2 linked regions of the Mus musculus genome follow. The protein of the gene in region 1 interacts with the protein of each later gene in a pairwise test. Links are inferred from orthologs where the notes say so. Each region holds a gene or a part of one and is shown on either strand. Other genes may lie near its edges.

The links.
Region 2: the proteins of Homer3 (region 1) and Pkn1 interact in binary tests that used the Homo sapiens proteins (3 or more experiments, as listed by UniProt). The two-hybrid records come from large-scale screens. The link is inferred for Mus musculus from reciprocal best matches to the Homo sapiens genes HOMER3 and PKN1.

The regions. Positions count from the first base shown.
Region 1 is NC_000074.6:70,281,785-70,285,807, forward strand, and holds the start of Homer3 (homer protein homolog 3), read left to right. Parts: upstream 1-1,214; 5' UTR 1,215-1,227; coding exon of another isoform or gene 1,228-1,316; exon of another isoform or gene 1,317-1,740; intron 1,741-3,449; coding exon of another isoform or gene 3,450-3,517; coding exon 3,518-3,531; intron 3,532-3,609; coding exon 3,610-3,766; intron 3,767-4,023. UniProt on the Homo sapiens protein: Postsynaptic density scaffolding protein. Binds and cross-links cytoplasmic regions of GRM1, GRM5, ITPR1, DNM3, RYR1, RYR2, SHANK1 and SHANK3.
Region 2 is NC_000074.6:83,675,173-83,678,691, reverse strand, and holds part of Pkn1 (serine/threonine-protein kinase N1), read left to right. Parts: intron 1-685; coding exon 686-761; intron 762-844; coding exon 845-986; intron 987-1,074; coding exon 1,075-1,168; intron 1,169-3,519. UniProt on the Homo sapiens protein: PKC-related serine/threonine-protein kinase involved in various processes such as regulation of the intermediate filaments of the actin cytoskeleton, cell migration, tumor cell invasion and transcription regulation.

The sequences.
Region 1 (4,023 bases):
AAATATATATCTGACATAAGAAATGCAAAGCTGAGAACCACAGACTCTGATTCGGACACAGCCATTTGTCCCCAGAACACGGAAACCCTTGCAGAAATTTCTAGAAAAGTGCAGCAAGGGATTTGCCACAGGGCTAGGGACCCACTGGCAGATAGGTGATCCCCTGAAGGATCCTCGGCGGGCTGCTGTGGCTGTGGACAGAGGCAGGACTCAGCCTACAGAGCTGCAGGGAGTTTGTCCATTTCATTGGAAGACAACACTAAGAGGACACTTGGATCCTAAGACTCTGTAACAATAACCTAGTTACTCCCAGAATTTATTTTTGAAAGTCAGGGTCTCACTATGTGGCCCTAGATGGCTTAGAACTCACTATATAGACCAATCTAGCCTAGAATTCACAGAGATTTGCCTGCTTGTTCTTTTCGTGGGAATTAGGATGGAGCCCAGGGCACCACAGACGCTTGACGAGGGCGTTACACACTGATTTGCAGTCCCACCCCCACCTTCGTTTTGGGGAGCTGGGCTCAAGCTGTCTTCATGCTTCAGTTGCTGAGGGTCCAGGAACTTTTTCTTTTCGAAGAAGCCACATGAAGACTCAGGGCCACCCTTGGTAGGAGGCAGGAAAGCGAAGGGTCGTTGTCCACCCATTTTCCGTGTTTCTCCCTATCTCTGGGTCACCAGATCACACTCCAGGACTTCTGCCTCTGTCTTCACACCCTGGCCCGCTACCACCCATCTAACACCCACACTTTTGTCTTCTCAGCCTTCAGCCCATCAGTCCAATGCTCTGCCCCAAGGCCGATCCAGACAGACCCTCCTCTTCCACCCCTCTCCCCACCCCGCTGTCTTTGTCCGCAGTCACCTTCTGTCTCTCTCCGCTGCCCTCCTGGATCCCTCCCCTCTGTCCAGTACTCTGCCTGATCCTAGGCCCCTGCCCTTAATCCCTCTGATCCCAGCCCCAGACTTTATGGGCCCCTCCCCCTCCTTCAAAAGCCACGCCCTCCCCACTTCCTTCAGTTGCCTCCCACTGGGTCCCCCCTTCAGAAGTTCCTCCTCTTGACCTCCTGGTGCCCTCCCCTTCCTCTGCCCTTTCACCCCGCCCAACTCCCCCCTCCATGTCCGCCCTCCTCTTCTTCCCTCTCGGGGTCCCCTCCCTCTTCCCCGCCCTCCGTAGCTGGCCAGCAGGGGGCGCTGGGCAGAGGCGGGGCGGCGCGGGGACTGGCCGCGATGGGACCGGAGGCGGCGCAGACAAAGGCGCGGGCGGCGCGGGGCGCGCGGAGGGCGCGGGCCGGAGGCTGCAGCGACGACGACGCGGGGTGAGCCAGACAGGGGGACCCCAGCTTCCGAGGCACAATCAGGGAGTCGGGGGCGCAGGAAACGCAGACGGTTTCCAAAGTTGCGGACTGTGAGGCGGGGCCCAGGAGCTGCGGGGTGCAGGCTGAGGGGTTGGGATCCTGGGGTGCCGGCTAGGGGGCCGGCTCAGGTGCTGGCTGGGGCGCGGGGCGCGTCTTCACCGGGTTCCTCAGCCGAGGTCCGGGTGTTGGGGACGCCGCATCGCGAGGCTCCGCCACTTAGAAGTTGCGGGTCAGCGGCTCCCGTAGTTGCCCTCACGAGCTGCCCTGGAGGGAGTGGGAACCGGTGCCAAATGGGAAGCCGGCGTGGGGCTCCTGGCAGGGTCCCCGCCGCGCGCGATCGCGGTTCTCCGCCCCGCGCCTCTGCTCCAAGGCGCGTGACTACTCAGTGAGTAACTTTTCCTGATGGTGGCAAGTCCAGGCAGGAGTGGTCCGACCGGAAGGGCCTGGGTTCGGGGACCCCTTTCCCCCAATCTCCGCCAGTTCCATTAGCGTCTCTGACTGGACAACCCCCCTACCCTCCCTCTGTATGGGAACTTAGGTTTCGCAGCTTCCCAAGACAGCTTGGAGGGGCCCTGACCTCAGACCCCGGGTCTTGACCTCCCGCACCCGCAGGACCCTCCTTCTCCTCCAATCTCCTTAGTTGAAATTTGGGGGACTTAGGAGAATGACAGGTGCAAGCGTTCATAGGAGGCTGGGGAGCTCCGTTCTCCCGGTCCTGTTCCCTGTTCACATGGTGGGGACTAGGATGAACCGCTGTGTGCAATGCGTGCTTGTGTGTGTGTGTGTGCCTGTGCGTTGAGACATGGTCCCACTCTGTAGCCCAGGTTGGCTTCAAAGTCTCCTCATTCTCCCCAGTGCTGGTGCCACCATACCAGGCTTTCATTTTTTCCTTTTAAGTAAGCTCCCTGGAGACTCAGACACAGAGTTATCTGGGCTAAGTGGTCCTTTCTCTCTCTCTCCTCTCTCTCTCTCTCTCTCTCTCTCTCTCTCTCTCTCTCTCTCTCTCTCTCTCTCTCTCTCTCTCTCTCTCTCTCTCTCTCTCTCTCCTCTCTCTCTCTCTCCCTCCCTCCCTCCCTCCCTCCCTCCCTTCCTTCCTAGAGTTATTTATTTTATTTATACAAGTACACTGTAGCTGTCTTCAGACACATCAGAACAGGGCATCCAATCCCATTACAGATGGCTATGAGCCACTATGTGGTTGCTGGGAATTGAACTCAGGACCTCTGGAAGAGCAGTCAGTGCTCTTACCCACTGAACCATCTCTTCAGCCCCGAAGTGGTCCATTTGTGGGATCAGCGAGGTCCTGATTTTCCTGTTAGGTCCCTGGAAGCACTCCACTTTTACTCCTTGAGATGGGTTTATCCCTCCATGATGACCAGGGAGGCCTTGAACTCCTGGGATGCATGATCTAACCGCCTTGGCTTTCAGATAGATAAAACCACAGGGCCTCACCACGGATCCAGCTTTGTCCCACATTTTGATGCAAGGCCCTCTGGGAGGAGAGGGGGGCTGTTGGATGGGAGGGGATGAATGAGATGTTCCACTCGGTTGATCTTGACCTCATGTTCAGTTCCTGTGGGAGGACACTTGCCCAGTGGTGGGTAACCTGGACAGTGAGTATAATCCTGCGTGCCAACAACCAGGCTATTCTCCAAGCCATATCCTACCTACCCTTGCAGTTTGGTGGCACTGTATCACCTCTCTGGTGACACTAGAGATCTAGAGATCACTCAGTCCAGTTGTGGGGGCTTCTCCCAAAAGCAGGGCCTTTTGTTTATGCCTACAGCTCAGTTGATAGAGAGCTTGCATGGGATGCAGGATGCTCTGGGCTCCATCCTCAGCACCACATGAACCAAGAATGATGGCACAAGCTGCCGTCCCAGCATTTAGGAGGTGGAGGCCAGAGGATCAAGAGTTCAAGGTTGCTGTTGGCTGCAAAGTGATTTCAAGGCCAGTCTGGGCTGGGACTGAGGAAGTGGGTGTCTGACCAGCAGCTGCTCCTTTCCTGCCTCGCTGGTTTTGTGAAGTCACCTGGAGGACCCACTTGGCCTGAGTATCCTTGGAGCCTTACTCACAATCTTCTTCTTTCCCTAGGGGACAAACAAGTGACTCCTGTCACCCCTCTGGGTGCCCCTTAGAGGCCATCCAGCCCAACCTGACCAATGTCCACAGCCAGGTGAGCACTCACCCACTCTGGTCTGGCCTTGCCCCTGGGTGGCATCAGACTCCTGCAGAGTTTCTGTCCCTGCTGTAGGGAACAGCCAATCTTCAGCACCCGGGCGCACGTATTCCAGATCGACCCCACTACAAAGCGGAACTGGATCCCCGCCGGCAAGCACGCACTTACCGTGTCCTATTTCTATGATGCAACCCGAAATGTGTACCGCATCATCAGCATCGGGGGTGCCAAGGTCTGAGCAGGGGTTTGGGGGCAGGTGTGCAGCCACCAGCCAGGCTGGGTGACTTGGGAATCAACGATCCTTTCCCAGACCTAACGTCTTCCAGAAATAACTCAGTGGTGGGGTCTCCGAGAAGGGACAAGAGTTCTACTGCAGCCCTTCACTGGGGGATTCTAGGCAGGGGCTCCACCTGTATGCCTTCCGATAGCTCCTCACTGGGGGATCCTAGGTAGGGATTAGCTACTAAGACAGATGCCTAGAGTTCCTTT
Region 2 (3,519 bases), about 13 Mb from region 1:
CTGCTGCTTTCTGTTCCCTGGTCCTCGGAGATGTACCTGGGCTTCAGGCTTCTACCACAGTGGGCCCCACTGCCTGAGGCGCCATGTTATCCTCCCATGGTGGGCTGTACTCCCTCAGCTATGGCAGAGTAGAGCTCCCCGAGAGTGTCCTGTCAGGTACTCTGCCACAGTGAGGAGAACGCAGCATGCACTTATGAGGGCAGACAGTGAGTGCACTGACCACTGCTTCCATGCTCATCAGCTTTCTCTTGCTTGACAGAACACTCGGGAGAAATAAACTTACAGGAAGCAGGATGGTTTCAGGGTTGCAGCACTCACCTCATTGCTTCTGGGCTTGCAATGAAGCAGGCCGTGGAGTAGAGCTGTTCACATGCAGGCAAGGAGACAGAAGGAGGAGAAGGGAGTAGGTCTGGTAGCTAGAGACCTGCTCTTGCAGTCACACCCTTCCCTGTGAAGCCCCCTGCTTCCTTCCCAGCAGTCTGATGCTCTGAAGCCATCGCTCGATGAACCCATGAGTGGATTCATTGACCCTCCTGTACGTAGTCACTGCCAACAGCTCAGCTTTGCACTCGGCTGCTAGAGCCAAGCCACATGTCCTCAGGGACACTTGGTGTCATGGTGCCCCATACATAGGTTGTGTGTGTATCTATTCCTGCGACCACTGCAGCGGAGTGTGTCCCCACAGGTCACTTTCCGAAACCCCATCATCGAGCGGATCCCTAGGCTCCAAAGGCAGAAAAAAATCTTCTCCAAGCAGCAAGGTAAGGAGGGTCTGAGCGATCTGGGTTGTACAGCCAAGGACCCCAGGATGTCATGGGTGGTGACCCTACCCTTGCAACTTCAGGGAAGGCATTTCAGCGAGCCAGACAGATGAACATAGATGTGGCGACTTGGGTGCGGCTGCTCCGTAGACTCATCCCTAGTGCTGTGGCCACTGGCACCTTCAGTCCCAATGCATCTCCAGGTGCTGAGATCCGGCACACTGGGTAAGGAAGGAGCGTGTGGCCTGTTTCTCTGTTGCTTCTGTTTCCCAGCGTCCTAGGTTCCCAACTCACCCTCCTCCCTCTCCTGCAGAGACATATCCATGGAGAAATTGAATCTCGGTGCTGACTCAGACAGCTCGTCCCAAAAGAGCCCACCAGGGCTGCCCTCCACCTCATGCAGCCTGGTGAGTGTGCACCACTCCCCTCTGGGCAGGGGAGCCTGGGGGACCTGCTGTTTTTGTTTTGTTTTGTTTTGTTTTGTTTCCAGAAACCTCCAGATGCTAACCCAGGATCATCCAGGAGAACAAGGCTGGTTGTTTGGTTGTTTTTGTTGAGTATAGTTTCAGGCTTTGAACTCTTGAACCCCTCAGGCCCCTGTGTGCTGAGATTGCCATGCCCAATTTATAGGGTAATGGTGATGAAATCCAGGGCTTTCTGCATGCTAGGCAAGTGCTCTGACAACTACATCTCCAGCACTTCCCCTGTTTTCTATACCCATTTAAAATATCAACGTGGAAGCTGGGCAAGGTGACACCAGCCTATCTTCCCAGCAGTGGCATGGCAGAGGCAGGGTTGTCACCACAAGTTTGAGTCCAGCCTAGACTACATAGTAAGTTCTAGGCCAGTTTAGGCTACATATCAAGACCCTGTCTCAGAAACCAGAGCTGGGGGTGTGTGCTTGGAGACTAAAGTTTGCTGAGTAGTATAACTCTTGGGCAGTGTGCTTGCAGCTCTGGGTTCCATCCCAGGCTGATCAAAAGAAAAGAACAAAAGGAACAAAGTGTGAGCTGGTGGAAGAGGGCAGAAAGGTGCCTGTGTGCCGGCTGCACTGGGAGGCAGAGGCGGGGGGTGGGGGTGGGGCGTCTGGAGCGAAGTCACCTCAGCTGTGGAGTTGGATTTTGAGATTGTACTATAGCTTTTCTCTCTCCAAATCGTCCTGTAAACCCCTTCTTCCTCTCTGTCAAATTCATGGCCTCTTTGTTCATTAATTGCTATTGCATGCATCTATGTGTGTATAAATATATATTCTGATATACATCCTGCTCAATGTATATAATGTCACTTTTCTGTATGTTTTCTTTTCTTTTTTTTGTTTTTCTAGACAAGGTTTTTCTGTATAGCCCTGGCTGTCCTAGAACTTACTTTGTAGACCAGGCTGGCCTCAAACTCAGAAATCTGCCTGCCTCTGCCTCCAGAGTGCTGGGATTAAATGTGTGTGCCACCACCACCCGGCGGCTCTGTATGTTTTCAAGTCTGGCCATTTAATTCTAGATAATCAATTAGTGTGGTTTTCCTTTGGGAAGACCCTCTGTCACTGAAAACTTACTTTAATTGGCTGTAGTACTTTCAGAAGGGTTGGGCCTCGTGGGCTTTGCCCCATCCACTGTGGTATATCTGTAGTTATTGTCTTTGTCCAGCTCATTCGGACGGTCATGCTGTTGAGATGGACACAGCCTTATAGCGAACTCCCCAATCCTCTGGCCCTACCAGTCTTTCTCTCTCAGTGTTCTCTGAGCCTTAGGTATGGAAGTGTTTTGTAGATGTATCCACTGGAACTGGGCTCTACACTTCTGCATTTTGACTGAGTGTGGCTTTCTGTGGTAGTCTCCATCTGTTGCAGAGAGAAGTCTCCTTGGTGAGGGATGAGGAACACTTTCATCTGTGGGTACCAGGCAGAGATTTTCAACCTTCCCAATGCTGACCCTTTAATACAGTTTCACATGATGTGAAAAATAAGATTATTTTCATTGCTACTTCACAACTGTAATTTTGCTATTGTTATGAATCATAATGTAAATATCTGTGATAGTCTTATGTGACCCCTGTTAAAAGGTCTCTTGACCAGCACCCAGGAAGGTCTGACCTACAGACTGAGAACCACTGAGAACCATAAATATTTAGAGTGTAGTTAGGGGTTGTGCTGGTTTAGTAAAGCGGTGGCTGTCGGTCCTCCTCCAAGGTCTGTGACCTCACTAACCCTGCGTAGTCGGCTACGTTTCCAGCACCTGGCATTACTTAAGGAGTGAGTCTTTTCTTTTTTTTTTTGGCTTTTTCGAGACAGGGTTTCTCTGTATAGCCCTGGCTATCCTGGAACTCACTCTATGGACCAGGCTGGCCTCAAACTCAGAAATCTGCCTGCCTCTGCCTCCCAAGTGCTGGGATTAAAGGCGTGCGCCACCACCGCCCGGCTAGGAGTGAGTGTTAAGTCCAGTTAGGGAGCTGTTGATCCAAAACACAAAGGAAAAAAGCCACAATTTATATCAAGGGCAAACTGTGTTGCTCTATGATAGGGGTTACCCAAAGAAGTGGAGGTGTAGCTGTCATGAACTTCCTCTAGTTCTGTGGTCATAGATGTTTTTTGTAAAGAAACAAGGAATTGACTTCGTTCTGTGAGTCCGATGAGAACTGCGTGGTTGAGTGATGGCAGCCACGGAGGCCATGCCATAGACAGAACTTGTGTGGGTTACTAGGTACCATACTTCTTTCCTTTTCTTCCCTCCAACCATTTCTAGCTCTGGCAGGCTGCCTAACCATA